Linked DNA regions of Oryzias latipes. Each later gene encodes a partner of the first gene's protein in a complex. Links are inferred from orthologs where the notes say so. Each region holds a gene or a part of one and is shown on either strand. Other genes may lie near its edges.

Region 1 (16,420 bases):
ACAATTATATCAACTACTGGTAGATCTGACTGGTTTGTGTAAAGATGGCAGTTCTTCTTCCTGTCATATTTACCTTAACCAGGTGTGGCAGACACTTTTTTGCCAAGATGGGAGGCAGCACTTCCCTGTTATCGGAGGTGAAAGCTGGCGGAGGGGAGACTCTGAACGACCTCTGCGGTCCTGAAACGACCTTTTTCATCTTGGACAACGGCGGTAGGTAATGAGGAGTGTTGTGTCTAATAAGCGGGTCTGTTTTGTGCTTCATGTTGTGCTAAAAACACACCAAACGTGTTAGGGACACTTTGCATTTACGCCAATCCAAAAGTGGGCGTCGACAGCACATACTTACAGTTGTTAACGGCGTCTGTCTCATGTGTCTTCCTTTCAGTTGTTTACCAAAGCTGCTCGGCCGCCAGATTTTCTCAAGCGATTGCTGCGTTAATCTGTTTCCCGCTGCATCCAGAGTTCCAAAAAGGAAATGAGAAGTCTCGGATTTCTTCTCTGTCATCCTGGATTCAAGGCATTAAACATGCTTTGATTATAGCACATTCTACGTGGTTCTGTTTATATTTTGAAGTTCGGCAACACAAGGGATTTTTGTCATCCAGTTCAGATTCCTTTCTTAAAACGTTTCACCTGATCTCTCTGAAGTAGGTGTGCCTCAGGGCCGTTTCTGCAGAGATGCGCTCGTCCGGATCGTATGCCAGCATCTGATAAAGCAGGGACAGAGCGGGAGCCGGGCAGTTGGGGATCAGACGAGAGATGCCCGTGCCCTTCATCGGGGGGAAGTTGAAGGGCATCGCTCGAGTCCTGCCACACATTGAGGCACATGAATAATGGGGTGTTTTTGCACAGATGTATGTAAAAATGTCATGAACTACATTGTAGCAATGCAGCATAACAGAAGGAACACCAACTGCTTAAACTTTTGGAGGAGACTTTGATCTGGAGTTCCCAGCACATTGTGGATCTTGGCAACCTGGTCCAACTCATTCGCTCCAGGGAAGAGAGGCTTCAAACTGAAAGAAAAAAACAAATTTTCAGCATTTGAAAATATTTGTCAGAACGACTTTGGAGGATTGACTTATTTAAATAAAAGTCCGTTTTTGGAAGCAGTACCTCATAATCTCAAAGAAGACACAACCGGCGCTCCAGATGTCCATCTTCAGGTTGTAATACCCGTCCGTTAGGAGGCACTCGGGCGCTCGGTACCAGCGCGTGGAGATGTACTCTGTGTGCGGCGGCTTGGAGTAAACACTCCGACACGAGCCAAAGTCGGCAAGCTTTAAATCATTTTGCTGCAAATTGAGTTGGGAATGTTAAAGGCCCTCGAAATAAAAAAATAAAAAAAGGATTTGATTCAGGTGAATATTACCTTAATGAGGATATTCTCTGGCTTTACATCTCTGTGAAAGATCCCACAACTGTAAGAGAAAAAGGCATTGAAAAGTCTCTATTTCTCTATTCTGCCTTTTAAATGTATTCATTCATACCTGTGCATATGTTGAAGTGACTTGCACAATTGGTACATGTAGTTTTTGACCATATGGTCAGGTAGAGGCTTTTTCCTTTCTGCAGGAAAAAGCAGGAAACGTCCATTAGCATTTTTTTTTATTCCCATAAATCCTATCATGGAAACATGTTTAATTTCCAGTAAAGCAGACTTACTTTGTAGGAACTCATAGATGTTCATCTCCATCAGCTCACAGACGAGGGATACCGTTCCCGTCACTTTGTCGCTAAAACATTGGAATATTTGAAATCAGGTCTAATGATCCGAACAGCTGGCGTGGGTGTGAAGTAGGACATCATGAAGTGCACTCACAAAATGAGTTCATGCAGTTGAATGATGTTTGCATGAGGGCTGAGTCTCTTCATCGCCTGGACTTCTTGAAGTTTGTTGGCCTGTTCCAAACTTAAAAAAACATTATTTATTCTCCTTATAGTTCTACCAAGGCGGTCATTTTGACTGAAATACTGATCACATTTATTTTTTCACATACCCAGATTTCACAGAAATTCTCTTGCGTTTTAGCTCCAAAAGAATTAAATAAGCTTCCAACTTCTTTTTGCTCTCTTTACATCCTTCACTTTATTTAGGAGAGCTCTTTCAAAACTATACTACCGACCTGTTTTTGTTTCCATGACCTTAAATGATCTGAATGGATTTTTTTCTTTCTATTTTCCTTCTAAGTGTCTTTAAACAGCAGTTTTGTTCTGTGTCTTAATTAAATATGTTTTGTAAAATTGAGAGCTGTTTTTGTTGGTCATACACTTAATGAGTTTTTTGTTTGTTAATTCATTTTACTTTGTCATCTTTTGTTATAAATTTAGCAGGAGGAAGTGTGGCATCCCAAGGGACTATCCTCCCATTGCTCATTAAATGTTTAAATAAAATGCCATAACAGAACGTAGTTAAAAAGCAAACAAACCTATAGACCAACAAGACCCTAACTTTAAATGTGCGTTTTTAAACTAAAACTCAGAAATACCTTCATTCTAAACCCAAAAATGACAAGAAGAAAGTTACAGATGTTGCCATAAATTGAAAAAAAAAGGCCTGATATAATGAAAATTAAAATATGAAACAAAATGAATGACGTTATAAAGGTTCTGTTACAGTCAAATATTATAGTTTTTCTTTAGTGTCCTTGATTGTTTTGACCTATTCTCCCAGATACTATGTCTGAATTCCCATCCAACTCCCTAACTACTAAAATACTATATAGTGTGGGACTGTGTAGTGTCCTGGATATTAAGCAATTCAGACACCATGCTCTCTGTTTTTTGTTTTATTACTTTTCTTTTTGTGTGTGTGTTTTTTTTTTTAACGGCCTATATGACGTTATCGATTTCACAAAGTTAAAACCTCATTGATATAAGCGACTTGCAACGACCATTTATGAATCCACTGAGTTCTGAAGAGGAAAACAATTTAAAAAAATACATTAAAATACATTTTCTTAGCAAAAACTGTTCAGATGCAATGCATTGTGCTCTGTATTCGCCAATCTAGTGAGCATCAAGCAAGGATCACTGGTTTTTCGCAGGGACTTCTGGGAAATTTGTAGGTCACTGGATTTTGGAATTGTAGATTCGGACAGCACTACAAATTGGCGATCGCACTATATAGTGCACTATATAGTGCGTAGTGAAAGAATTTGGACACATCATACCAGTATGTCTTTTCAACGTGATATAGAAATAATGATCATAGCAGGCTAAAGGACTGTCATGATCATTGTAATAGTGGTGGAATGGAGTGTTAATTTGAGATTTTATTTGTTTATAAAAAACATGACTTTATGAAAAAATATTCTCACACTACACTGGAGAACTAATTAAGGGAGCATTTTTTTTTCTTATTTATTTCTGTTAAATGCAGGTTATTTTAAATAGACATTTGTGGTAAATAGAAGTCAAGTTTGATTCAAATTTCTTTTTTAAAGAAAGTAAATTTAAGTTCCAATTAGATGTGAGAAGAAACATCTAGATCTTTACAAAGGGGTTTAAATGATAAAAACATTTGGCAGTGGCGTCCGAACTTTTTTGCAAAAAAGGTCAGATCTGACTTAGTGAAAAAGTGTGAGGGTCAACCCATCAGCCTGGATTCTTAGAACCTGCATTTGCTAACATTAAATACAAATTAAGTATTTTATTAAAATTCTATTGCAATGGGGATACTTTTCATCTCTTCACATAAAACAGGAACACGTCTAAATATATTTTTTCCCAGGGTCCCGGCTTTGGACATGCCTGGCATTTAAGCCATACCTTTTTATTGTCTGCTTCATTGTTTTACAGGCATAAAACTTTCCATCTTTTAGGCTCTGAGTTTTCACCACCTCTGAAAATGCACCTTCTCCAATCTTCTTGATGACTTTGTAACCTGCAAGAAACAGAAAAACACAACAAAAGATGCTCAAATGAAATCAAAACATTCAGGTCGTTTTAGTGTTTATGGATTTCAATGATCACAATCAAAGGGAGTCAATTGTTTACATTAGTTTTGGTAACAACACAAAATAGGAAAATCATTGAAAAATCTAATGATAATCAATGAATCAATTTATATTCCCACAATCCAACCGGACCGATCTCTCTGAGGCAAGTTGATAATTGAATTAACCTATATCATTATGTAATCATTTCAAATGGAAATAAATTGATTGTAATCGATATTGGAAAATACCTTTTAGATTAAGACATCGTTTTTTAACTTTAACCAAGTGTCATCACAGTGGACAACACACATGTGATGGCAGCCGGAAATGATCAAGCCATCATTCCAGTCCAATGTGTGGAAACCCTTTGATTTTGCAAAGACATGCGACCATTCAGAGTGGCAGTGGCACATTTTGGGTTGTATTACCACAGCAGGTATTTCTGCTTATCTGAGGCCATGGGACTATGTGTGTAGAGGGTCAGCTCAAATATTGTCTCGGGTCTGCAGACGGTAAGATTAAAATAGAAGTTCTTGTAGCTGAAGAGATATTACCAATGCTTAAAAAAAGCTTGCATTGAGGATTTCTTAATCTTTGTCAATAATTGACTCAAAATTATAATAAATAATTGACCAAAATCCACTCAAAAATTGCAGTGGGCAAAGCTTTCTGCTGAAGGGCCACATGTTCCTCCCTTGGTACCCCCCCCCCCCCCCCCCTGTAATGTGGTATAATGTTTAAATTTTCAGTTTGTATTCTTTTTATGTGGAAATTAACATTTAATCGGATTAAATCAGATCGTTCAAAATGAACCAACATTGACTGTGAATCGGATCGTCATCCACAAATTCTGATATGAGTTGATTCGTTAAAATGAATCGTTCTCACCCCCTACTAGTTGAGGTAGTTAATTCTTGAGTGGATGGGAGGGTGAAAGGGCATCGACAGCCGTTTCTCCTCCCCTTTCCGTTTTTTCCTTTGTTTCAAATTCCACTTACGATGCATTTCCTTTAATCTCCTTCTGCGCACGTCAGTCAAATATCCATTGAAAGAATAAAAATGATGCATTTTCCCAGTTAGAGGTCGCGGCAATCATCGCGCTCGAGCCACCCTAACCCTGCTGGTTCACGTCCTGTTGGCTGACCGTCGCCTTGGCAACAGAGCACGCCTTCGCCCTCCTCTCTGACCCAGAGAGGAAGCCTGCTGCAAACCCACCGCGTTTCCACAACTCAACGCATTTTCAGACTTTACAAATAAATAAACAAATAAACACAACACGCCCTGCTGTGTAGGAAAAATAGGTTTATTCCCACCAGGCCCATTTCCCCCCCGATACTCACCCCTCTTCCAGAGGTGATTGGGGATCGCAAGCTCGGATGTTCTTTCGTTGGGCTTCTTCTTGCTACTGTTCTCCATGTCTGCGGAATCCCGTCTATGATTCCAGTTGGCGCTGAAAGATGTTTGGTACTCATTTCGAAGGCTTGCCTTGTTCTTTATGTCAATGAGCCAGTTTGAGTAGTGCATCTTTGGTGCACGTAAACTGCAACAAATCTGAACATGAGCTTAGAAATGCAGACAGAAAAATCTCAGAGGAGAAAAACATCTAAACACGCGCATTAATAGCATTGCCAGACATAATTAAATCACACACGACGAATTGGTGGTCAGCTGCTGTGTAAAAGGCGTGGACGGTGTTCCTTTTGTCACCTAACGGCTTCCGTACTGAAGCCTCAAGTGCGCATGCTCAAAGGTTACTCCTGCGTGTTGTTCTTTTTCGATACTGTTTTCATTGGCGGTTTTGCTTTGATAATGTGATCATATTCTACAGTTTACGGGCTTTGTAGCTGGAAGTTAAGTCAACATGAAAACTCGGTTCACCACCGTGGATATCAGGGCAGCTATTGCCGAGATCAATGCAAAGTAGGTGACACAGGTCTCATGCTAAGCTAATGCTATCTTAGCTTCGAGCTGTTTGGTTGCACATATTTAACAGGTTGTCTGGGTGTTTCTTCCCCCCTCCGCAGCTACGTCGGAATGAGAGTCTACAACGTGTATGACATCGACAATAAGACATATCTCATCCGTTTGCAGAAGTAAGGACGGTTTGTAAGCAAAGGATTGTTTAAAACTTGCTGATCCATAACTATTTACGTTTTTAATTATGAGTGATTAATATAACGTAACACATTTTAGCGCAGAACACAGCGGGTTTAATTATTTTAATTCAGGTTAACTGTTGGTTAAGAACAAGTTTAATTTAAAACCGTTATTTCTGCAATTGTGGTTATCCTTCCCATTGAAATTGGATCAAATTTAGAATTCAATACAAATACTGTTGATTTACATGGAAATAATGATAGAAAGTTAAGCTTCGTTTAGAAACAGAAGGATAATAATTCTGGTTATAGTGCTCAGCCCTAAGCAAAAAGTAGTCCACTCAAAGTTAAAAAAAAAAGTAAATTTTAGTATAAGTATAGCAAATATACTAGAAAATGTGTGTGTAGTGTAGGAATTATAGGAAATGTGTTTTTAGACTAAACTGGAACATTTTAAGTTTACAACGGCAAATATAGTGGCTCACTTTAAGTATAGACTTAACTTGTATTTACTTGTAGTTCATATCGATAGACTACTTTTTGTTGTGTTGTCTTCTCAGGCCTGATAGCAAAGCTGTTCTGCTGGTTGAGTCTGGCATCCGTATTCATTCCACAGACTTCGAATGGCCCAAGAACATGATGCCTTCGGGATTTGCAATGAAAGTAAGAAACTGAATTAAAATCAGAATTTTTTTCTTTCTTTAGGTATTAACTATGTATAACAGTCCAGGTACACTCATTACTCTGATCGTCTTTGAATCTGTTTTTAAAGCGTTCCCAGTGGTCTTTTAACTATAATTATCCTGGTTTTAGTCTAAATGTTAAAAAAAAGTTTGCGCAGAACGGCAGTATTTCATTAGAAACTCGCCTCAAAGTTGTAGGTGGAACTGCTGCCACAGAGGAACCATGCCGCCCCATCCTCTCCCAGTTGCTGAGAGCTCTTTGTTTACACTCTCCTGCTTTTCGACCTAACATTAGCGGTGCAACAAAAATGCCGAGCAATATTGGAGCTATCCTACTGTACAGTTTTGAGCCAAATACCAGCTTGGACGAGGAAAGCAAAGAAGTACGTGGATCTAGTCGTCTACAAGTCTATGCATCAGAATGGAGCAGAGCAGGGAGCTTGTGGCCTCCCCAGTGTATTTTTTATGTGACAAATTAGCCCTTTTTCTAACTTCTGCTCCTGATTCACAACAGTTTGAATAAAGAAATACTCAGAAGTGCAATTTAAACCTTTTTAATATATGTCCTCAATCCTCAGAAAACTCCAAAAACACAACTTTCTTCAGCGTGGCTCTTTAATAATCCTTTTCTACAGATTAATAGACATGGCTTTTTTTCGTTTTTTTTTTTAACTTGCACTAATGTGTTTCCACAGTGTCGAAAACACCTGAAGACGCGCAGACTGACCCACATAAAGCAGCTTGGCATTGACAGGATTGTTGACATGCAGTTTGGCTCAGACGAGGCTGCCTACCACTTGATTGTTGAACTGTATGACCGGGTCAGAGAATTGCACCTACTTCAATTAAACACACAATAACACTACTTTTTTGTTGTCACATCCAGTTCTGATTAGATAATAGTAATATTCGTTCAAACTATAATCCTGCATGTGATTGTTTTCAGGGTAACATCATCCTTGCAGATCACGAATACACGATTTTAAACCTGCTGAGGTTTCGCAACGCAGAAGCAGAGGATGTGAAGATCGCCGTGAGAGAACGCTACCCGGTGGAGAATGCCAGATCCCCTGAACCTCTCATCAGCCTGGAGCAGTAACCACACCTTTACATTTGCTTTAAACTGTTGATAATAATGTGCATTCTTTATAACCTAGTGGACGTTTCTCCTGGCTGAAAATGAGTTTTTTTTCTTTTTATCTCCAGACTTACTGAAATACTGAGCAAAGCACCAAAAGGAGAGCAAGTGAAAAGAATCTTGAATCCTCACCTTTGTAAGTATCCGTGAAGCCAGCGTCGTTCAACCTGTGGTTTCATGTCTTTAGCAGAATCGTGAGAATACATCCCTAGTTTTTCAGGTGCTTAACATACGAGGTAGAACTCCATGTCCCTGTAACGCAATGCCATAAACAGAGTAGTTTATTGCTTTTCTCAAAAAAAAGAAAGAATGTTTGTAATGTGGGACAATCACCAATTTTATATTGATCATACTAGATGCAAATAAGGAAAAACAATTTTAAAGATCAGGGGCATCAAAAGCCTCTCAGGTTTAATAAATGCGACTTATCTTAAAGTAATCCTAATAACTCATCCAGTTTAAATAGAACTTGGGATTCTTCGTCCTTCTTGCTGCACCTTCTGTAGCCAGTTGAGCTACCAATAAAGTTTTAGTCTTATTTCTTCAAGAAATACAAGAATAAAAAACTGAGTATTAAATATCTAAAATAATACATTTCTGGATGTTCTTTACTTCTCTATAAAATACTCATACTATTCTTAAAAACAAAAAAAGGTAAAGTGTTTTAATCAAAAATTCTAAGAAGCTAAAACCAGCATTTTATAATCAAATAAATCATTGTAAAGTAACATCTTACTAGTTGAGGCTGTTGGTTTGAACCATAAAAGCAAATATGATGGTTCATTTATAATTTTCATAAAAAGTAAAGGCAGCAACTTGTTGGGCTTATGCTGATGAAATTACGGTAATTTATAAGTTTTAGACAATGACCAGAAATGTGAAAAATTCACCAAAAAACACCTGAATAAAGTAAAAATGCTAGGAGAATGCAGAGAGAGACAGCAGATCTGATTTAGGGTGTTCCTATAAAATTCGTCACTTATTTCCTGAGAGATTTGAAGAAATTTACATCTATTATATATGTCATATATGTTTGATTCACTCGCAGGTTAGTCAGACTTGTAAGGTTTGAAGCAAACGAAGTAATGACCACTACTTAGAAGTATTTTTTAAATTACTTTAATTGTAGTCATTTTATTGTGTAAAAAGGTAAAAACAAAATGTGTCTCCTTTTAAAAATGTCTTCAGCTTACGGAGCCACTCTGATAGAACACAGTTTCATAGAAGCTGGACTGCCGGGCTCCATTAAAGTCGACAGTCAAGAAAACGCTGCTGAAGGTGAAACACTGCATCACTTTTCCCCTTTCATTTAAAAGTTTAGTTTAAAAATATTCTATTGACAACATTTGTCTTTTAGTTGCCCCTAAAATCCGGGAAGCGCTGCAGATCGCAGAAAGTTACATGGAAAAAACGGAGAACTTTAACGGCAAAGTAAATGAAGAATTCTTGTGTGTCACATTCTGTTTGACCTCTGCTGCATTCATCATTTCTTTTGTTGTATTTAGGGCTTCATCATTCAAAAGAGCGAAAAGAAACCAAGCGTAGCTCCAGGGAAACCTGCAGAGGAATTACTCACGTATGTCTTGCTTAAGGACTTTGCTTTGAGAATGTTGATGGAAAAGTACAGAGAAGGTCAGAAGGAGCTGCATTGTGTGTTCGTAGATTTAGAGAAGGCGTATGACAGGGTGCCGAGGGAGGAGCTGTGGTACTGTATGAGGTCGTCTGGAGTGGCAGAGAAGTATGTCAGAGTAGTTCAGGACATGTATGAGAGAAGTATGACGGTGGTGAGATGTGCTGTAGGTCAGACAGAGGAGTTCAAGGTGGAGGTGGGACTACACCAAGGATCAGCTTTGAGTCCTTTTTTGTTTGCTATGCTGATGGACAGGCTGACAGACGAGGTAAGACAGGAATCTCCCTGGACAATGATGTTTGCGGATGACATTGTAATTTGCAGTGAGAGTAGAGAGCAGGTGGAGGAACAGCTAGAGAGGTGGAGGTTTGCTCTGGAAAGAAGAGGCATGAAGGTCAGTCGTAGTAAGACAGAATACATGTGTCTGAACGAGAGGGATCAAGGTAGAAGCGTTATGTTACAGGGGGCTGAGGTGAAGAAGGTGCAGGAGTTTAAATACTTGGGGTCAACAGTTCAGTGTGATGGGGAGTGTGGAAAAGAGGTGAAGAGGCGAGTGCAGGCAGGTTGGAGCGGTTGGAGGAAAGTGTCAGGAGTGTTGTGTGACAGAAGAGTGTCAGCAAGACTCAAAGGAAAGGTGTACAAGACAGTGGTGAGACCAGCTCTGCTCTATGGGTTAGAGATGGTAGCAGTGAGACAGAGACAAGAGGCTGAGATGGAGGTAGCAGAGATGAAGATGTTGAGGTTCTCCTTAGGAGTGACCAGGTTAGACAGGATAAGGAACGAGTACATCAGAGGGACGGCTCATGTTGCCTGTGTTAGCGACAAAGTCAGAGAAGCCAGACTGAGATGGTTTGGACATGTTCAGAGGAGGGATAGTGGATATATTGGTAAAAGGATGTTGGAGATGGAGGTGCCTGGCAGGAGGGCAAGAGGACGGCCAAAGAGGAGATATATGGATGTCTTAACAGAGGACATGAAGTTGGCTAATGTTAGGGTAGAAGATGTTCATGATAGAGTGAGGTGGAAAAGGATGATTCGCTGTGGCGACCCCTGATGGGAAAAGCCGAAAGAGAAAGAAGAAGTCTTGCTTAAGGACTTTCTCCAAATTCAAATTTTCTGGCTTCATTTCTTTGATGTCTTCCAACAGATATGATGAGTTTCATCCATTCCTCTTTGTCCAGCATGCAAAAAGCCCATTTTTGGAGTTGGATTCTTTTAACAAGGTAACTCTAAAGGCATCTTACTGATGTTTTTTTGGGGGAGAAATCCACATTGCAGGATTGCTATTTATTTATGCAGGCGGTGGATGAGTTCTTTTCAAAGATGGAGGGTCAGAAGATTGACATGAAGGCCTTGCAGCAGGAGAAGCAAGCCTTGAAGAAGCTCGAAAATGTGAAGAAGGACCACGAACAAAGGCTGGAAGCTTTGCACCAAGCACAGGTTAGCAACCACGCCGCTTTCTTCGCTGCAGCACTTCCACACTCTCGTTTGTCAGACTAACAGGACTCCTGCTGTGCGTCGCAGGAGGTCGACAGACTAAAGGGGGAGCTTGTGGAGATAAATCTGGCTGTGGTAGAGAGGGCGCTGCAGGTAGTCCGCAGCGCGCTGGCCAACCAGGTGGACTGGGCGGAAATTGGCCATATTGTAAAGGAAGCGCAGGCCGCCGGGGACCCAGTGGCGTGCGCCATCAAGGAGCTGAAGCTGCACAGCAATCACATCACCATGCTTCTAAAGTAAGAGGCTGCTTTTTAAAGAAAGAGGCGTCAGATGGAAGTGGCATTCGCACCACTGCCCTGGTTTGCCTTTTGCTCCCAGGAATCCTTACATTTCTGAGGAGGAGCAGGAAGACGAGGAGATGAAGGACGCAGTGGAAGAGAAAGGGAAGAAAAACAAGAACCGGGACAAAGGTCAGAAGAAGAAGCTGCAGCGGAACAAGCCCATGTTAGTGGATGTGGATCTGGGCCTGTCGGCTTACGCCAACGCCAAAAAGTAAGTTTAACGTGCAGTGAAGGGAAATCTGTGATTTACTGTGAAGTTCTGTGCAGCTTTTCCAACCTTCACATTTTATATGCAAAGATTTATTTATATTATGCATCTGTGAATTTATTTTTTTGTTTGTTCGTATCGAATTTAAATTTCCTTAACTAATGTACATTTTTAACTTTTAATTAGAGCCTAAGAATCCATTGCAAAAACTTTTTTTTTTTTTTAAGGACTTAGTATTTTTTTTCTAAAACCCTATGTTTATATCATGTTGTTTATTTTATAATTAAAAATATTCATACATTTTTGTTTTTCTTTTGCTTTTATGTGAAAATACGTCCAGCCTTTCTGCTTTGATTTTTCATGCTCCTTAAAATAAAAGCCTGTAATGGATCTGATGTTTTATTTTTTTGTCACACTAATATGTTCAAGCTTGCAATGATGCTGTTTTTAGATACTATGACCACAAGCGCTCTGCAGAAAAGAAGCAACAGAAAACCCTCGAAGCTGCTGATAAGGTGATGAAGATATTTTCATCCATGTTTAAGCCCAAACTGCTGTCTTTCATAAATAATGTGATTTATTAGATTTTTGTTCATAAATGGAAGCTTTTCTGTTTCAGGCTATGAAATCTGCAGAGAAGAAAACACAGAAAACTCTGAAAGAAGTCCAAACGGTGACCACAATTCAAAAAGCCAGGAAGGTGTACTGGTAAGAAACAGACACGGTTGTTGTAGAGCCTCTCCATCAGTTATTCTGAGCTGTTTTTTTTTTACTTTCCTCCTTCTTTTGGCAGGTTTGAGAAGTTCCTTTGGTTCATCAGCGCTGAGAATTATCTGGTCATCGCAGGAAGAGACCAGCAGCAGAACGAGATTATCGTTAAACGTTACCTTCGAGCAGGTATGACCAGCTTCTGTTGAATCATTGAACTCTTAAAAAGCTGTTTCATTTATCTGTTGTGCGTTTGCCTCGTCAGGAGATATCTACGTTCACGCTGATCTGCATGGAGCAACCAGTTGTGTTATCAAAAACCCTTCAGGTAAACAGCTGTTTAAACAGGCTTGGCTGCATTTGGTCAAACTAAGTCACCCTGGCCTCTTTTTTTTTTTAAATTTTTTTATAGGGGACCCCATTCCCCCTCGTACTCTGACAGAAGCTGGCACTATGGCCGTGTGCTACAGCGCCGCCTGGGACGCCAAAATAATCACCAGCGCTTGGTGGGTTCACCATCATCAGGTGAGGCCCTTAGAGATGACGTGAAACATCAGAATAATTCATTTAAAAAACCCAAATCTAAACATATGAAGTTTGTTTGTTTAAAAATGAAATTTTTTAAATTACCTTTAGATTCCCATTCTATTTATTATGCATAAAATATCAAACTTTGTTTATTTAATTTTTTAAAGATCTCTCTCAAAAAAAGACCAAATCCTTATTCTCATTAAAATTATCTTAAATAATTGTCAAATCTGTTTACGCAGATGATACCATATTTTAGCTTTACTGATGCTGCTGAGATTCTGCATTTTTGATTAATTTATGCTCAAAACAAAAACTCATAATCATTTTTCATGTGTAGGAAGTTATGAACTACCGGTAATTAAAAGTTCATCTAATTATTAGTTTATATTACATTTGAATTGAAATATGTTAATTCTTGTTTGAAACGCTGGGATCTTTACAAATCAAATCCAGATTTTAGAGAAACTTTACTTTGCTCTACATGTGATCAATTGTTCGGCTTCTGAGTCCGGAAACTGACCCAAAAAAGTCTGTTGTAAAGAGGAAATCCTGTTTTTTTTTAAAAATATCTTTAACTGAAAATGTTGTGTATTTTTTTAGGTATCCAAAACCGCCCCCACTGGAGAGTATCTGACCACTGGAAGTTTCATGATTCGAGGTACAATAAACCAGCTTTCATTGTTAATAAAATGCAACCACACATTTTTAAGACCAGCTCCAAGCATCTTTTGTTTTTTTTTCCAACCATTCCAACTGGTCTTTTCATTATGATGATGTTGTTTTTAAGCAAAAATCCCCAAACTTGTGTTCTTTTCTAGAACATAGTTTCTGCAGAGCGGCAGTAGTTCATTAGAAATTCCTCTCCCTGTTTCTGAGAGCTCAGAGCAACGTAACAAATGCAATCCTTTTTTTTTCCTGTCTGCTCCCGATTTGATTAAAGAAATACTTGTAAATTCAATTTCCGGCTTATTTGTGTTCATATATGTCCTCCCTCATCAGAAAAATGCCACAAGAACATGTTCAAACCACAATTTTCATTGGAATTGATCTCCTGTTCGTGGATTAAAGTTCTTTTTTTAACTCTCTAGGGAAGAAAAACTTTCTGCCCCCGTCCTACCTGATCATGGGCTTTGGGTTCCTTTTTAAGGTTTGCTGTGAGCACATCTGAAATGTGTAATGATCCAAAGTTTTTTGTTTTGTTTTCAATCTCTCTTGTGTTTTTTTACAGGTAGAGGAGCAGAGTGTGTTCCGTCACAGAGGCGAGCGGAAGGTGAAAAGCGTCGAAGAGGAGATGGACGACGTCACGTCGAGAACGGCCGAGCTTTTAGAGGAAGGAGAGGAGCTGATGGGTAAAACGGCTAAACGCTTGGGTTTAGTGTCCGAGAAGAGCCGAAAAAAGAAGACCGTCTCTGTTGTCCCAGTAGGAGACGATAGCAGCAGTGAGGATGCGACTGAAGAAAAAGCAGGAGACGGTCAGACACCGGAAGAGGAAAACGAGACAAAAGCAAAGATTACAGTGGAAGGAGAAGAAGAGGAGAAATGTGAGGAGCCTGCTGCAGACACGGGAGCGATGGAGTCGGAGGAGAGCAACACAGATGAAGAAAAAGAAGAAAGGGAAGAGGTCCACTTTCCAGATACAACCATTTCCCTCTCTCATTTACAGCCCAGCAGGTAAAGATGTCACCTTGAAGGTGAAGGAACTGGACTCATTTGAATGAATTCAAACTGATTTGTATTTTTTCTTTCTTTTAGGAGTTCTCAAAACTCTGGCTTCAAAACAGAAGCATCACATAAAGCAGTAAGTGGCATTGTTTGGCTTTGAAGTTATTATTTTTTGTAAGTTTTTTTCTACGTTTCATACTTTATTACTCGCTCTGTGAAAGTCTTGTCAGGCTGAAGTGGATTCCCAAGGAAAGAAACACATGACTGCCAAGCAGAGGAGGTGAGTTCTGAGAACAAAATGTGAACCTTCTGACCTCAAGAAACCGTTTGTGGGAGCCGTCATCCTCCACCGTTTCTCCTCAACATTCAGAGAAGACAAAAAGATGAAGCAGAAACAAGAGGGGTCCGATGTCGAGGAGAAGACCGAGACTTCATCTGCTGGGCCGGTTTTGGATCAGGGGCCTAAAAGTGGAGGGGGGCCCTCACAGCCCCCCCTGAAGAGAGGACAGAAGGTTGGACATCTGACCCCAAAGTCTTTTAAAACATAGTTTTAGATATTTCCTATTTAGATATTCAGAGTTTCAGTTTGATGTATTTTATGGGGGAAAAAAAAGGTTAATACTGTGGTAGGTTTTATATTTTTTATTGTGAAAAAGGAAAACATGATGGGATCTCACAAAATAATTTCTGTTTATTTATTCCAATGTAAGCAGAAAAAGTGAAATCAAAACTGAAATTTGTAAAACTTGTGATCTTGTCAAAAATAGTTTTCAGGATGATCCTGGAGGGATTATTTATCCGAGCAAATATTTTTTATAAAAACTTTGAGCAACTCCAAGTGCTTTACAATTAAGAATAAAACATGGGCAAATACATTTAAATTAAACTAAAAAAAGACATGAATTAGTAAAAAAAATAATAGTGATCAAGAACAGAAATGTATATCTTTAGTCTTGAATGTGAGTAGGGCTGATTATCACTGCCTAAGACCCTGAATTGATTCCACATTGACGTATTTTTTCAAATTTTCCTTCAATTTGGTAACGAAGAATACGCTGTAAACTGAACAAACATGGAAGTAAAATTCCCAACCGTAAGAAAACTGAACCTGGGAGCTGTTTCTTATCTAAAAAGAATAAAACTTTTTTTTTTTAAAGTAAAATCGATGATTGTATTTGATGAATCAAAACCTTTTTTTTAAGTCAAGGTCACTTTGATATGGATTTATTTTCTTTCTGTCAAGAGTGTCTCTCTTTTCTTCTGAACTGTGTTGATAGTAGCTCTGTGTTTACTGCTGCAGAACAAACTGAAGAAGATGAAGGAGAAATACAAAGACCAGGATGAAGAGGACAGAGAACTGATGATGCAGCTGCTTGGGGTCAGAAACTATGTCTAACTGGGATTTTTTTAAACTCTGTTTTACTTTTTAACCATGTTCTTGGAAAGCCGATGAAATTTGACTGAAATGAAGCGAGCCACAGAGAAAACCAGCTCTGCTCTCTCCCGCTTTTTAGTCAGCTGGTCCCGTCAAGGATGAGAAGGATAAGGGGAAGAAGGCAAAGAAGGGGAAGGGAAAAGAAGATCCCGTCAGGAAACCGGCGCCTCAGAAACGGCAACCAAAAGGATCTGCGGAGAAGAAGCCTGAACAGACAGGAGGTGTGGAAGTGTTGGAGGAGAAGCCGCCTGGAGAGGATGGAGCTGCTGCAGATCAAGAGGACAAGGTAGCTTAGCTGACATCCATGTAGAGTTAAGACGTACACAGAAGAAGAAAAGTGCATTTATTTACACCTATCGATGTAAAAGTGTCCATGATGTGGTTTGAATGACTAGAATGAAGCTGTTTTTTTTTCTTCTTCCAGGAGGATGATATAGATCAGGACAACCCAGGAGTAGAGGTGAGTTTGTCTGTTAAAATATAAATATGTTTATAAAAAGTTTTTGTTGAATAAAACAGAATTTTTGGGTTTCAGGAAGCGGAAAATCTGCTGACGTCTCTGACGGGCCAGCCTCACTGTGAAGATGTGCTGCTCTTTGCCGTGCCC
Region 2 (16,235 bases), on another chromosome or scaffold:
GTCTGTTGAGCTAACACCTGTGCTCAGGTGAGTGTTTATGTTCTTCTAAAATGGATGGTGGAACGTGAAAAGAAGGATGGAGAGTGCCCAGCCATCCCCACCCCAAGACCCCCACCGCACCAGCAGCGGCAGCCGGAATCCCCCCAACGCCACACGGGAACCGGCAGGGAACAACGGCCGCCCGGGCGACCAAGCCCGCCACCCAGGCCAGGGCCAGCAGGGCCGCCGCAAGGCCCCCAGAGCCAGAGAGCAGGGAGGCACGGAGGGAAAGAGGGCGCCGCCCCAGCCCAACCAGGAGATTAGCCCCCCCGCCGCGCCGGGAGAACCCAACGCAGGGCCCCACCGGAGAAGGACGCCCACAGCCCCAGACGAGCACCCCACCACCACCCAGGAGTTCCGGGCATCCCCCCGCCCCAACCCCAGGTACGAGCCAGGACCCCCCAAGGGAGACCCACTCCGCACTCCATTCAGCCATCCGCCCGGCCCACGGTTGGTCCAGGGAGGAGCGAGGCAGGGGCCCGCCGCCCCCGCCCAGAAGGGGGGAACCCCGGGGAAAAAAGAGGGCCCACAAGGGGTGTTGTAAATATGGCCCGACCAGGCTCGGCCACAGTTGGAAATTTGGCGGGGCCCAGCACTCAGGAGCAAGGACCAGAACCCACCCCCCAGGGACACGAACACCCCCGGCTCAGATGTAATGTGAACCCCCCCACCGCGCGGAGAGAGCACCGCCGGGCCCAGGAAGCCGGCACCCCGGGGACACAGCCGCCGTTGCAAAGGGGCCCGTACCCCCCACCAGGGAAGAGGCAGGGGACAGATGGTCCTAGGTCCCACCTTCCTTGCAAAATGTGTGTGCGTGTATGTGTGTTTGAGAGAGTGTGTGTGTGCATGTGTGTGTGTTTATGTTGGGATGTATATATTGAGGGGGGAGGGGTGTGTGTACTAAGGGGAGTGCGGTTAAAATTGGCGGGTAGGGCACTAAGGGGACGTCTCCTGATTACTCACAGTGACGTCCCCTCACCCTCCCCACCAAGGGGCCCTAAATGTCTAAGGTGCGGTTAAAATTGGCGGGTAGGGTGCTAGGAGGACATCCGCTGCTTGCTGGCAGTGATGTCCAAGCACCCCCCCTACCAAGGGCCCTACATGTCTAAGGTGCAAATAAAACCGAAAGAGGGGGGGCCCACTCCATACGGCAACCACAGGAGGGGGGTCACTGCCTAGTAAACCCCCCCCCCAAGGCTCATCGCAGGCTAAGCCCCCCACCCCCTCACCCTATTATGAGGTTATATGAGGAAGGGGGTAAGTTGGGGACAGATGATAGACTGTCCCCCGGTGGTCAAACAGCCGTCCCCCGCCCCCCCCCCAGCAAGGGGGCCAGGCCCACCCAGCCCCGGGGCCCCACCCCCGGAGGCGCAGACACCCCAGGCCCAGCACCACCACCCCCACACAGAGAGAGGGGAGCCAGAAAGCGCCGGCCCCCCCCGGAGCAAGCCCAGGCCCCCACCCCCAAACGCCGGCCCTAGAAGAGCTCTGGTCAGGCCTCGACGGGACCGAGGCAGCCAACCGGCCGGGGAAACCGCCGATGGCCTCAGCGGAGACCCCGACCCGTCAACCCCCCCTGCCCCGTACCAATAGTGCCCCCCCTCCCTCCCCCAGAATGCCCCCCCACAGGACAGGGCCGACAAGACCCCCACCCCACCCCACCCCCAGACCCCGCAGCCGAAGCGGATGACACCCAGAGCGACCGGGGGCCCCAAGAGGGTTGTCCCGTCCCGCCCCAGAGCCAGGGAAGGGCCGATCCCAGCCCCAGGCGTAGACGGGAAGCCCATCCGGCGCCGCTGGGCCCCCCCCCCCGGAGCAGCGCCCCCCGCCAACCCCCCCCAGCACAGGCAAAGGGACCACCCCCCCAAGCCAAGCCAGACCACCACCCCCCCCACCACGCACCCCCACACCCAAGCCCAGAGGACCACGCAGCGCCCCAGGCCGCCCCACCCAGGCGCCGGACCCGACCCCCCGACCAACGGAGCCCCCACCACCCCCGGCCAGGCACCGGAGGCCCCGACCCCCACCCCGGCCCACGGCAGAAGGGCAAGGAGCAGCGACGACCATGCCCCCCCCACCCCCTAAGTCACGGAGTTAGCTATGGGAGACCAGAGAGACCGAATTCTTTCAAAGTTACTTGAACTTTGGGCTGACATTTTTTCCAAGCTGATATGATCAAGCAGCAGATTTCTGTGTTGACTTATATTTATATTTTTTTTGCTTTTCCAATTTATTAAAATAGTTTTTTTAGCAATGCAAAGAGTTATGAAAATGATAGAGCCTAATCCTCCTTCTACATCGATGGCACTCATGTCACCAAGCACACAAAGTGACGGTGAAGCTGTGATTGAAACCTTAAGCCAGACTGATAGATCGGCACATACCTGCTGCCAGAGAGCCTGGACAGGCGTGCAGAACCATAGTGCATGCATGTAATTGTCGGGTAGATTACTGTCACAGTGCTGACAAATGTCTGAGTTACTGAGACCCATCTTGAACATCCTCTGTCCAGTGTAGTAAATTCTGTGAAGAGTTTTGAAATGGATTAGCTGCAGATTTGGATTTTTTGTCATTTTAAAGGTGTTTAGACAAAGTTCTGACCAAAAACTTTCATCTGTGCTGATGCTCAAATCCGCATCCCATTTTGTTGTCGGAAGTGAAATATTGTTATCTAAATTACATAAAAGTTTGTATATTTTGGAGAGAGTTTTATTCATTGAGAAATTGATCAGAGTGGTAACTACATCTGGTAGCTTTAAATCGTTGTCTCTGTATTTAAACTTTTTAGTAATAATTGATTTAAGTTGCTGATATTCCAAGAAGTTATATATTCCGTGTTTGTCTTGAAGTTCCTGGGGAGTTATGAATCTTCTATTAATAATTATGTGCTCTAGTTGTTTTATGCCCCCTGCTTGCCAAGCTGGGAAGTGGATAATTTTTTTGTTTATGAGGATGTCTGGGTTGTTCCAGATGGGTGTCATTTTGCACGGTTGAATTGATGATTTTGATATTTTGAGAAATTCCCACCAGGCTGTTAAAGTGGCATTTATATTAATACTTTTGAAACAATCCTGTCTTTTAACTATTTGACTAATAAATGGAAGATCTGACAGGTTGATCTTTCCACATAACGCCTGTTCCAAGTCTAACCATGAGTTGGTTTCTGGATTATTTTTTAACCATTTTAAGATGTATTGTAATCTATTTGCAAGAAAGTAATTGTGGAAGTTAGGTAATTCTAATCCTCCACAGCTTTTTGCAGATTTTAAAGTTTTTAGACTAACTCTTGCAGGTTTATTGTTCCATAGAAAGCTTGATATGGATGAGTCTAATGTTTTGAACCATTTTAATGGCGGTTGTGTGGGAATCATTGAGAAGAGATAATTAACTTTGGGTAAGATTTTCATTTTAACCGTGGCTACCTTGCCCATAAGGGACAAAGGCAAGGTAGTTTCGATTTATTTCTAATATAAGTCGCTGCGGAGTATAAGTCGCACCCCTTGCCAAACTATGAAAAAAAAGGGCGACTTATAGTCCGGAAAATACGGTACACAAAATCGTTTATTATGAGACGCTTATCAACTATTAGCTGAAGTTGTGTTTTACGGCAACATTAGTCAAAAAACAGCAGTTTTAAAAATGTTGGTTCAGGTTGACGCATATTATTTTTATATTTTATATATTTATTAGTTTATGTAGCATTTTAATGTCCAAGAATGATTGAATAAAACTGACAAGAAATCAGCTTTTTTAACAGTATTTATATCCTAAAAAACAGACCTGGGCGAGCGAAACGAGGCCAGCTGTCCTTTGGACTGGTCATCCACGTACTACGGTGAAAGTGCCTGTTTCTCTGTCGAGGTCTTTGGAGAAAAATGACAAAAATATTTGATATTAGTTTTCAAAATTCAAAATGTTTTATATGTATACATATTTTTTTTCTCCACTCACCTTAGATCCCCTAAGACGGCTCGAGCCCCAAAATATCTCTTCAGCTCAGTCTCTGGGTTCAGATTTCTGGACACAGAAATATCACATTCAGATTTAGATTTTAATTGCGTACCATTCTGGCTACTGATCAAACACATGTAATGAACCACTTTTCCTCTGTTTTCTGGAGAAAATAGCTACTTTAGCTCTCCGTGTGGTTGGAAATATTTCAACAAGTAGAAAAGAAGATAACAGAAATGTATTCGGCAAATGCATTTAAAATTTAGAAGGATATTCCTGTTCCTGCTTCATCAAACCTAAAGGTGACTTACATTTATTCCATTTCCCTCATGTTTAAGTTATTTATTTACAGAGAATGTAAGTAGACTGTTGTTGTAATAACCATAATTGAATAAAAGTTCTATCTTTTTTCTTGGGTAGAGGTTTGGCTTTTGTGAGTCTTTCACACAATATTCAGATAAAAATAATACATAAATAATGAAACGATACAGTTAAATAGAATTTAAATGAGGACTTAATTGACTGAGGGATAATGGATAAGGAGTTTTAAGTTTAAGTTTAAGAGGTTAAGAAGACATCAAACCACCTTTACTGACTGGGTTACTTCTAGTTCCAAGTCCTCATTAAATATGTTTGTTTATCAATAAACATAACCTGTGAAAAACGTGTGGTAGGAGGCTTTAGGTATTACTAAAATGATAATTATGCTGCTGAATTTGCAGATGGGGGTTAAAAACAAGACAACCTAAATTCTATGCAATACATTTCTCCGTTAGTGCAATTCAATATTTCTGAGAATGTGACTATTTTCCCAATTCAGCAAAAGTCTCATTTTCGTCTCAGTGGAAACGGTGACCTTACCTGTGCTCCACATGTAGCATTGATCTTCGATCAAAACCGCCGCAATCTTCATTTTGTAAGCTCACGCCATTGGACTGCTCCAAGTTCTCCAGAAGTAAATCAATGTTATCCGAGGAAGCTTCCTAAAAGTTTAGAACGTAGTTGTTTGCTTGCAAAAAGAAGCTATGAGGCTCAGCATATGACCTAAATGCAGTTATTATGTGTAATGATAATAAATAATTAAACTTTGAGTAAAACTGAGTCTGGTGACAAAATGTTAATAGTTTTACAGCCATTTGGGAAGAAAAAAATAAATGGAACCCATTTACTTCTCCATCTTTTGATGCAACTTTTGTCTTCTTCTTTTTCTTCTTCTTTTTAACTCGGTCTGCAGACTATTACAGAAAGAATTAATGAAACAATCCAACTTCCCAAAAAACTGTTTGTGAAGACAGAAAAACGTTACTACTGAGCGCATGACCTGACATGGGTAAAAAAAATACTAATTCGTTCCCACAAAATAATTGTGACTTTTTAAACACCCCGTATTTTCAACCGTAAATAAACTGAAATGCCTAAGGTTACATCATTATTGTAAATAAGATGACTGGTTTACAGCAATAATAAGACATATTTTGCCACTGCATCATTGATGTTTCTATTGACTATAGGGATCACCTCGCGCAGACAGACAGACAGGTACTGCGGTATGGGGAAGCAGCAAGCTTGGGGCTCCTAAAATCGTAGGATAGTTTTCTTATATTCATCGAGACAATAATAAATAGATCCCCTAGTTTGACTCTTGTTTTTACTTTTCCCCTCTTGAATTAATGTGGGTCACAGAGACACAGAAGTAGTGTAGAAAAACGGCTTATGCGGCAGGGTGGAGTGCGTACCGGTAGAGACTGTGAATGAACCCAGACATGGAGACGTGATTACCGATGCTTTTGTAGAGCTTTTTAAAATAAATAAATCCAACCTCTAAACATCCTCCGTGTCTTCCATGCATTGTCATGAGATAAACACAGACAGAATTATGAAGGTATATGCTGTAATTCCAAGTATCGCTGACATCAGTGTTTATGAATGACTTATCACAATTATTATTTCGTGGGAGCTAATTAATTATTTTTTTTACCCATGTCAGGTCACGGGCTCCGAACATTACCGAAAGACGTTGTGGGTCTTTTTATTTTACCTTAGAGGACACTCCGTCACACATTTGAACCTGGTTCTCGGTTTGTTTATCATTTATTCCAGTGCCACCTGTTACATTTTTGTCTGGTTTGTCAGCCTCTTCATCAGCAGAAACTTTCTCCCCTTCATAGTCTGGATCACCAATCTATAAAAAAAAAAATTTTTATAGAATAAATGTAAAACATTTTTTGAAAAAAAATAATTATTTAAGCACATAAACAGCACCAGAAGAGCTAAAAGATCAGCAACTACCTAATATTAAACGAACAAAATGTGACAGTAATCATAGAAAATTATTTATTATATAGTATTCAAAATAGGTATGTGTACAAGACACAAATAAAAAGGGAGCATTGCAGTTTTGTTTTGGTTAAGCACTTTCTTAGGCTTAGAAATGCAAAATAAGTGTCTTTTAGAATTAATTTGAACACTTAAATATTACTTCATTTTAAAAATGTATTAGAATATTTAAGGTAATAATTATGAGACAATAATCCTATTATCCATGTAATGTGTGTAGTAAGTAGGTTACCCAGATTTGACACAATTTCCTCAGTCTGACAACAGTAAAAATCTACGTTTTATTCGGCAACAACATATATATTTATAAATGTAAGCGATTTTAGAACGAGGTTAATTAAGGTTAACGTTTTTAACTAAACCTCCATTGGTTCAATCAGATGGTAAAGAAGAAGAAGCTAGCATTATTTGGTTAGCTTGTGTTAGCATGTTAGCTAAATGTAGACGGTGCAAGCAGCTGTCAGGAAGAAATGCGCGTCACCGTGTCAAAGAAAGGGTCGTGTTTAGTCAAATATTCGGAACCTTACCAGTTCATAGATGTTTGTGAAGTTTTTCTGAGCTTTGTTTTTCTTTCCCTTTCGGGTGCTGCCTGTGTTGTCTGAAGAGGGAGACGCGTCAGCAGGGTTAAAGTGCTCTTCCTCGGCTTCATCAGCCTGCTCCTCTGGGCTTTCACCCAAAGTTAGTTCTCCGAGGTCCAAGGCCTCCTGACCCCTCTGTTTTCCTTTCAGTCTCCGCAGAGCCCGGGTGGACATAGTTCACAGTAAATGGGTCACACAATTTTTCACTGTTTGATCGAGTTTTCTTCTGACATATAGCACACCCATAACCTGATGAATACTATTGGTTTCTTCTTCTTCTTCTTGTGGTTTTGTTGGCGGGAGGCACCAACGTGAAGGTGCATTACCGCCACCTACTGTGTTGGAGTGTGGGTCAGAGTGGGGACTACCTGACAAAAAACAAAACAAAAAAAACACCCCTAAATTTAGCATTCAAGAAAAAGTAGGGAGAGGTATGAATGTCAGGGTAAACGCCAGAGATCTCGGCATAATTTCACGGTTGAGAATGGGACACACTGGTTTAAATAATACATTGCATCTGATAGGGAGACACCCAACTGGTTTGTGTGAGTGCGGGAAAGGGGAAATTTCATCTCTATACCCCATTTCAACGCCCTTTTTGCCAGAAAATCAGCCATTTCATTTCCCTCCACCCCCCATGTGCTGGTACCCACATAAATCTGATGCTTATTTTCAATTTTCCCAACCTTTTCCAATTTCATACAATTTATCTGATCTGCTATCAGAAGAATAAGACTTTAGAGACATCAAAGGTGACAAAGAGTCTGAAGAGTCTGAACAAATTATACCATCTCCAATTTTATTGTGTTCAAACCAGTCTAAACTATATGATATTGCCAACATTTCAACTGCAAAAACTGAAAGTTCCTTTGACGTCTTAATTCCAACATATTTTCCCAATGTAGGGATACAGAAACAAAAACCAGTTCTCATTGTGCCTAGGTCTTTAGATCCGTCTGTATATATGGGAATAAATAAAGCATGGACTGTGTCTAACCAGTCTGTTGTTATTTCATCCCAGTTTCTCTTCCCTTTGCTACCCTCCATCTTCCTGTGGAGATACAAATCCACTTGTACGGTTGGAAAAACCCAGAAAGGAGTGGCTGGGTACAAAAACGTCTTAACTAGGGTTTTACCATGAATGTTTGTTTCTCTGGTTAATCTAGCTAATTTCCAAGCAACACTTTTGTTTGTCCCACTACCACTTTCCCAACAAGGAGCAATACCTCTCTTAACCATATGTTCTACATCTACACAACCCTGTATTTACACCCAATAATTAAGCAGCAGTTGTTTAATTCTGAGATTCAATGGTAGGTCCCCCATTTCAACTTGTAATGACACAGCAGGAGTTGACCTCATAGCCCCAGTACATATTCTCAACGCCTGATTTTGGATGACCTCTATCTTATGTAACTACGTTTTGCAAGCTGTATTGTAAACAATAATTCCATAAGCTGTGACTGACCTAATCATTGTAACATATTTTTGTTTTAAAGCCTGTGCACTAGCTCCCCACCCAGTGCCTTTCAAGCATCTCATTTTATTTATGACTTTGTTACATCTCCCTACTATCAATATTCTCTTTCCATTTCAACTTTTTATCAAATATAACTCCCAGATGCCTAAAACTATGTACTTGCTCCATTACTTTTCCATATAGTTTTAAGTTCAAAACAGTTTCACGTTTTCTAGTAAAAACCATGCATTTTGTTTTAGCCACTGAAAATTTGAATCCCCAATTGTATGACCAGTTTTCCACCTCCGTAATAGCGTCTTGTGTCTTTCTCTCCACATAACGAATATTCCGTCCCCTCTTCCACAAGGCTCCATCATCTGCACACAATGCTTTCCCAAATTCGCATCCAATGGAACTAAAGATATCATTAATCATAATTGAAAACAACACAGGGCTAATCACACTTCCTTGTGGGGTTACATTATCCACGACGTATCTATTAGAAAAAGACTTTCCTATTCTAACTTGAACATATTTATCAAATAAAAAACCCCTTAATCCAATTATAAATTCTTCCATGAAGTCCTAACCTACCTAATTTTATCAATGAACCCTCTTTCCAGACCATATCATAAGCCTTTTTATATAAAAAAAATACTGCCACCAAATATGCTTTATCTACTTGGGCTTTCCTGATGTCTGCTTCTAGGCAGACGACAGGGTCCATTGTCCCTCGACCTTTCCTAAAACCGTTCTGATATTGGGACAACAAATTTTTTCTCTCCAGGTAATAATACAATCTCTCATTTATCATTTTTTCCATTATTTTACCAACATGTGATGTGAGGGCTGGGGCTGTAATTTTCTGGGCTGCTCGGATCTTTCCCAGGTTTTAATATAGGAATAACAACAGCCTCTTTCCAATTTGTCGGCAATTTACCTTCACACCAGATTCTATTATACATGTCCAATAATTTCAACTTCATTTTCCTACCTAAATGCTTTATACTATTGGTTTGCTCGTCTTCTTTGATTAAATGTCGAAAAACATCTGAGCAATCTTCCGCCCTCTAGCGTTTACATTTGAAAGAATAAATAGAGCAAAAACATCACATGCCAGGTAACTTATCTTCAACTTTGGTTCCAAAAACAAATTGAAAAGATATTTCATATAAAAAAAATACATCTTCAGTTGTTACTTAAAGATACAGGCTAAATTGTTTTCAAGTCTTTAAGAGGAAAAATCACATTTATGAGGATTAAAATCATGATCACATGGCCTTTTAAAATGAGCTGTTCTGCCAATTGTTCATCTTTTCCCACATGCTGATTATGACAAAGGTAACTAATATCATCTCATCTCAAATATGTTATGATATATTAGTATTAAACCTGAAAAGGTTGACAATTATTTCATGGCTACACATTACTTTGGCAAGAAGGCAGAATCATTGGTTTAAACGAAGCATGTCCAAAGTCCGGCCTGTGGGCAAAAAGCAGCCTCCATTCAAATTCCCACCTCTCACGGGCTCCTGTCATAAAAATAATAACATGTGGCCCCAGCACTTTCTAAAAAGTGTGTGTACAATTTCTTGATTGTGGCTGGCTAAATTCCATTCTTAGCCATTATAAACCTGTTGTGACAACCTGTGGCTACTTTGCCTTCAGAACCTTAATAACCAAACAAGAGGACACAAAATCCACTATAATTTAGGTTAAAAAAATGTTAACAATGTAGCTGCAAGTGACCCCAAGTCTGGGTCCCCCTGGTCCAAAGCCTGGATAAAATACAGGGTTGTGTGAGGAAGGGCCTCCAGCATGAAACTCAGTGAAAGCTGATTTGCTGTGGCAACCCCTGAAGGGATGTGTTGAAAGGTGAACAAACATCCATTCAATGTGGAAAAAGGAAAAATATGCCATTGCAAAAAAATGGCATCATATAGTTCATTTACATTTAATGCTTTTATAAGAGTTCAAAGAATGCGAGCCGATTGGTTGGCCCTCATACATCTTCAGTTTGGACACCCCAAACCAGCGAGGGGAAATGATTATTTTAGGTGTCATTTATTAGTATTATATAGACAAAATTAGAAGTATTTTCCAGAAGATGGAGGGCAAATTTTCAACTTTTGATTTCAACCAGTTTCAGTTACATTGTGATCTGAGGTCAATCTGTTCTTTATTCATACTCTTCCATTTCAAAGTCTTCATTAAATACTTACATGTATCTGTAAAAACCAGGTCTTGTCTTGTTTTTGCAGTTTATGTGCAAACTTTAAAGCAGTTGTTGGGGTTTCAAAAGTATAAGTATCATGAACTTTGGGAAGAAATTCTGACACACTCACTCAGCTGACTGGTTTTCTGTGTGGCTCTTCTCCTAAATAAACATTTCTGTTTTTTATTCTCAACAAAGTGCGTGATCTTTGATTACTACATTTCTCCAAGCAAGAATCATTGCATGAATAAAGATTCAATCTGCACCTGGGTGTTGCGGTTTAGACTAAAAAGAGGAAGCACGATTATGATACTTTGGTTTACAAATAGACAGTAACTGTTCTGACTCCAGAAGTAAAGAGAAGAGAAAATTAAAGAAAAATACTATCACGTAGAACCTGTTTGAACAATGCGTTAAAAAAACAGTGAACAGCAATGTTACAACTATGTACTACAAAGAAACAATGGAAAAACAGGGGAAGTGCTACGTGTCGAAATATTGGGCTTGTAAAAGCGAGAAGTTGCAAATGCCCCTGCTTTGAATATTTTCCACAGGAACAAAAACACAAAAGCAAAAACAGATGACAGATAACAATTAAAAGAAAGCAAGAAATCACCACAGAAGTATGAGACAACATGAATTGCTTTATCGCCATGATGCACCCAAAAACACAGATCATCTCATCAATCTGTACTTTTTCATTCTTTAATCACAACCTGCATTTAGCTGCTTTCAAAAACTCCAGAAACAAGTAAATACACATTTTTCTAGATCACTTTTATAAAATATAAAAACTTTTATAAAAGTTATGATCGCTGGAACAGGAAACAGATATTGACTTGGACCTTTTGAATATTTTTCCAAACAGTAAACACTAACACATACAGTACTTAAAACTGACAACAGTATATTTACATTTTCAAACTAGCAGCTACAGCATTTACATCTACCGTATGTGGTATATTTTTGATCATATCAACTTTTTGATCATATCAACTTTTTTCTTTGATCTCAGCTTCTTGTATTTCTCCAGGGTCACTAACTTGAGCGAACCGTTCCTCCACCATTCTGTGAGGGGGGTCCAGTTACTCGTCATCTGTCACAGACATGGGATTGTCATAGGCAGCTCCCTCCACATCCTTGGCTTGCTTCCGGCGTATCTCTGGAGGAGGTCGTGGTGGTGGGTTCTGAGGAGGACTTTTGATGCTTTCAGCAACAGGTTTCCGAGTATCTTTGCGAGGAAGAATTGGTTCCCAGTGTTCACCTCGGACAGCTGCCTAGATAGCAGGAGAATGTCAATGCTTTGCCACAAAAGGATAGTGACTATGTTGTTTACTCAAAATTGGAGATAAACCTAAATTTAAACCGTGTTACATCTGAACCTTTGAAACTCATGGAGAATTCAGTCACACCTTCGTTTAATGTTTTGCAATAACGTATGTCATGTTTCAACAGAGACACCACTATGGGACAACTTCTAAGTTGCAGTTTCCTTGTTTCCAGAAACTAACCACTTCCCGCCATTACAACACACTTTTCAAATTTGACAACTGGTGAGCTTTGAACAACTTACTGCCAGATAGATGAGACTGGCAATGCCAAGACAGACACATCCTAAAACTGTGGCAAGCATAAAACCTCCAGGTACACAAAGCCTGTAAAGAGAAATACAAAAGGGTTTAAGACCAAACACAGTCATGGCACAAGCCTATTGTTAGTGAGTGGAAAGAATGCCGTTTGGCAAAAGAAGGATTGACACAAAACAGTCCACTTATTCAAGCGTGGCATTGTTTCAGAACCACAAAGTCAACTTTATTCAACTTCTTTTCAAGACATTAATTAAACTGTTTTTCATCAAATATGTATCTGAAAATATTTCTCTTTTACTTCAAATTTTTCCAATCAAATAAGGATTCATGATCTTAAGTTTGATAAATCTATATATGTTATTCTCTCACGTTTCTTTTCTTTTTTACTTTTTCTTGTTTTGACTGCTTGAAATGAATTTCTAAATTTAGAATTCAAATCTTACTTACGCTGCATGCAGAAACGCTCTGACATAATAGTTTCTTGTTACTGGTCCGAAGGCTTTTACACACACTGTGAAGCAGTACTGGCCCCTGAAAGAAAATGAGTAGTGAGTAAAAAACCTTATAATAGTTAGGAAAATACGTGCTGATGATGAAATATGTAATAAAGGTAAGACTACAGGGAAACTTACGTCCTTTCCACACTCGTACCCTTGGCCCTTTTGCTCCTGGGATACTCGAGCAGGCACACAAAGACCCCAGCAGCACTTGATTTCAGTCAAGGCATTTTAATTATTGTTATCACTTCAACATCATCATCATAAACACACATAGTGCTTAATATAAGACTAAAATGTGCTAAATTGACAAACAAAACAAACTTTTTAATTTAATCTATCAGATTTTGGACTTTATGGTTACATAAAATGGATGATTTTTAACATTTGGGTGAAAAAATCAAATCTTAACTTAGATGAACAGGAAAAGAAAAAAAAACCTCATGGAGGAACCTGCATTTACTGAACATGCACAATAAGGAAGTGTGTACCGGATACTACACAAGTTGTGTTATGAACTAATACTCATCTGTCTAAGACACAGAAAAAAAACAATGTAGTTAGACTATAAAAACAAATATTGAAATATTCAGATGGGATGATATACATTATCTTCAAAAAAAAGGTGAATGAGGCTTTACACTTTCAGGTATTAAAATTCGGGGAAACCTCTCCAGGTTAACCCTGCGCATGCGCCACTTGGTTCTCATGAACCAGAGTGCAAACTGTATTAAAGAGTCTAAATCCCAATACACTTCTTATAATAAGGTAAAGGATACATAGCATAAGAAGCAAACTCCCAGCCTCTAAACTGCCCCGCCACTCCCACAATTCCTCCGGCGAGAAGAACTACAAGAAGGAAACAGGAAGGTAAAAAAATAAAACAGCATTAATGACAACAATCCACCTTTACTTTCTATAGATGAACATTATTTCTGCAACTGGAATTACCATACAGAAATGGAGCTATTTGTTCTAGTGTTAATTGTCCTAGTTATTTCATGACCTGACAAAAAGCAAATACTAACACTTAAAAAATCTTTTGTATACTCACTGAGGCCTGCAGCCAGAGCCTGTTCGTTGGCCCACATGGCCCACTCTATTCTCCCCATGGTGCTGACCCCAAAAACGACGCGACTACGACGCTCTACCTGCGACGACACCTGACCCTGCAGCCTGCACAAGGAAGACGACGCGCTTTAGAGGAGGTGCAGCCCGTAGACGTGCGGCTGGGAGGAGCGGGGCGGGGCGGGGCGGGCGGGACGCAGCCCCGCCTCGCCCGTCGTTTCCGAAAATATGCGGGATTCCCGGGAGGAGGGCGGGGCCAACACCCACCGGACAGGTGCAGCAAGGCCAGGGAGGAATTTCACTTAATCATTAAATAAAGTTTCACCCTTTTCTTCCTGGCAAGGAAGCAATAGCTTCGTTTAGTTTCTAACTTTTTCCTGTTTGTTAACTGATGCCTTCATCTGGATTTGTGTGTCATTCTCTCACATAATGAAACGGACAATAAAGGCCACATTGAATAAAGTTTAAAATATTTTTTACAAACTATTTATCCCAGGTTTAATGTCATTGACAAATACAAGATCTTTAAGGCAATGCAACTATAACATCTCTTTCTAACAGCGAGTAAAAGGAACAAGCTTACTGACAATGATGTAAGAAATCAGAAGACACAAGAGCTGCTGTCACATTTAACATTTATTTAGAATAGAACCTAAAAACTCGTGATTTGAAGTGACTTAGAAGACGCACTGTACAGTTTACATGGGGAAATTAAGATTTATTTTGCTTCTATGCTGGCATAAACTACGGAGCCCCTAAAGGGACATAGATGTAAAAGAAATTGTACTGGTTTCTCATGCGCACAATAAACCAACTGTTGCACACGAGGAACTAAGTGGTTATTATTTCTTAGGACTCCCCTACAAAGACTTTAGCTTTGCTTGCCTGGTGTCACCGTTATGTTACCTCTGAACGTCACCTAAAACGAGTTCTAAAGTCATGTAGTTTGTTTTGGTACCGGGGATGCACTGGCTTTGATCAGCTGCTGTGCTGCACACTGGGTTTTTTTTCTCGTGTGCATGAGAAACCAATACTATTATTTTTTTTTTTACCTCCATGTCCCTTTAGGGGCTCCATAATAAACTGTATAAATCTGTAAACGTAAAAAAACAAAAAAAAACAAAGCTACTTTCAAAGAACTAAAGTTTATGTCTTATAGTTTAGGAAAGCCATCAGGTGACAGCAGGTGTAGAGAGGGATCCTTCACAACCCGGGGGCCTGGACCAGCCTGGAATGTATGACCAAAAAAAAGAATCACTCTGCAGCTCAAAGAACATCCTCTTTGTCTGTATTTGTATGTACCTTGGTGCTAATAATGTAGCTTATTCCCTTTGGCATGGGTTCTAAGCCAACACTCTGTTTCAGCTGCTCAGAGACGGCAGCACTCTTGACTGGAAGACCTTTGATGAAGCTGCAGAGGAAAATAAAAGCAGCTTTGTGACATATTTTTGAGGGAGCTAAAGGCGAACAGGAAATAAGAGTGTGATAGCATAGAAATACAACAGAAACACCTATGCAAGTCTAATCAAATATATATATATATATATATATATATATATATATAACAAATATTAATCCCAGCTAATTACTCTGTACTACTATTACTACTTTGTAAAGTACCATTTAACCCAGAACTCCACTTAAGGTAGCATCATCACTTTGAAAGGATAAAAGACAGAATAGTTTTATATTATCGAAAATAAATTCAGGCATGGAGAGGTGAAACATAAAAAAACAAGCAAAATGCCATTTACATTATTGCCACATATGTTTTTATAATAAAAATACTAATTCATTTCAAGGCACACTATTTCTTTGAGCAAATGTGCATAGGTGCAATTTCAAATGTATTGTTTTCAGCCAAAAATAAATACTATGAACATGTTTGTAAATTTCAAACCCTTCATATTGTCTGATTTTTTCTTTTCCAAAAAATGTATTTGTGAACGAGGCCAAACCTTTTAGCTGTTGGCCACATTCTATCTCAGTAACAGAAACAAAGCCCAATATGCTGCAAAGTCCTTCATGACCGCATGCTTTTATTGTAATAAAAAGAAAAAGGTTAACCTGGTTTCCTCAGCAGGGTTTTATGAGCAAAATGCTATTCAACCCATAAACGTATGTGGCTCAACTAACTGTCTATCTCTTTGTTTTTTAGTTCCTTTAGCTTGTCAAACAGAAAGTATAGAGTACAGTAAATCGATTGGGTGTTGACATACTCCTCTCCATTGGTTTCTGGTGGGAAGAAATGCTGGATGAAGTGGACAAACTCTGGAACGTGCTGTTGTAACGTGAAAATCACAGCGTTTGGCCCGGCATCAAAACTGTAGGCCACCTAAAGGAGCACACAGACTTTCGTCAGCTTAAAAAAAAAAGAAAAGAATAGAAAAAAATCACGTTCCTCTTTTTTTTTATTACCGCACATGTTTCACATCTTTGTTACACAATGTCAAAAATTCATCCACATAAAAATAAACAATTGTGTTTCAAAAGTTACCAAAG

The links.
Region 2: nemf (region 1) and tcf25 share a complex: the UniProt entries of both Homo sapiens proteins name them as parts of the ribosome quality control complex. The link is inferred for Oryzias latipes from reciprocal best matches to the Homo sapiens genes NEMF and TCF25.

The regions. Positions count from the first base shown.
Region 1 is NC_019880.2:6,692,571-6,708,990, forward strand, and holds the start of nemf (nuclear export mediator factor NEMF), read left to right. Parts: upstream 1-5,680; 5' UTR 5,681-5,805; coding exon 5,806-5,864; intron 5,865-5,968; coding exon 5,969-6,037; intron 6,038-6,600; coding exon 6,601-6,703; intron 6,704-7,418; coding exon 7,419-7,544; intron 7,545-7,669; coding exon 7,670-7,818; intron 7,819-7,929; coding exon 7,930-7,997; intron 7,998-9,049; coding exon 9,050-9,139; intron 9,140-9,218; coding exon 9,219-9,292; intron 9,293-9,366; coding exon 9,367-9,437; intron 9,438-10,638; coding exon 10,639-10,714; intron 10,715-10,790; coding exon 10,791-10,931; intron 10,932-11,015; coding exon 11,016-11,224; intron 11,225-11,306; coding exon 11,307-11,480; intron 11,481-11,928; coding exon 11,929-11,992; intron 11,993-12,096; coding exon 12,097-12,185; intron 12,186-12,270; coding exon 12,271-12,374; intron 12,375-12,450; coding exon 12,451-12,513; intron 12,514-12,597; coding exon 12,598-12,710; intron 12,711-13,316; coding exon 13,317-13,374; intron 13,375-13,804; and 19 more. Other genes in the region: mok (MAPK/MAK/MRK overlapping kinase), read right to left, coding at 74-271, 350-509, 637-810, 918-1,019, 1,120-1,298, 1,376-1,424, 1,494-1,572, 1,669-1,739 and 3 more. UniProt on the Homo sapiens protein: Key component of the ribosome quality control complex (RQC), a ribosome-associated complex that mediates the extraction of incompletely synthesized nascent chains from stalled ribosomes as well as their ubiquitin-mediated proteasomal degradation.
Region 2 is NC_019861.2:22,089,923-22,106,157, reverse strand, and holds the start of tcf25 (transcription factor 25), read right to left. Parts: upstream 7,189-16,235; 5' UTR 7,080-7,188; coding exon 6,855-7,079; intron 6,173-6,854; coding exon 6,029-6,172; intron 5,226-6,028; coding exon 5,160-5,225; intron 4,974-5,159; coding exon 4,852-4,973; intron 4,057-4,851; coding exon 3,991-4,056; intron 3,903-3,990; coding exon 3,820-3,902; intron 1-3,819. Other genes in the region: cytochrome b-245 light chain, read right to left, coding at 11,665-11,856, 12,153-12,234, 12,616-12,699, 12,801-12,875, 13,445-13,514, 13,720-13,777; mvd (diphosphomevalonate decarboxylase), read right to left, coding at 14,887-14,961, 15,036-15,144, 15,953-16,068. UniProt on the Homo sapiens protein: Component of the ribosome quality control complex (RQC), a ribosome-associated complex that mediates ubiquitination and extraction of incompletely synthesized nascent chains for proteasomal degradation.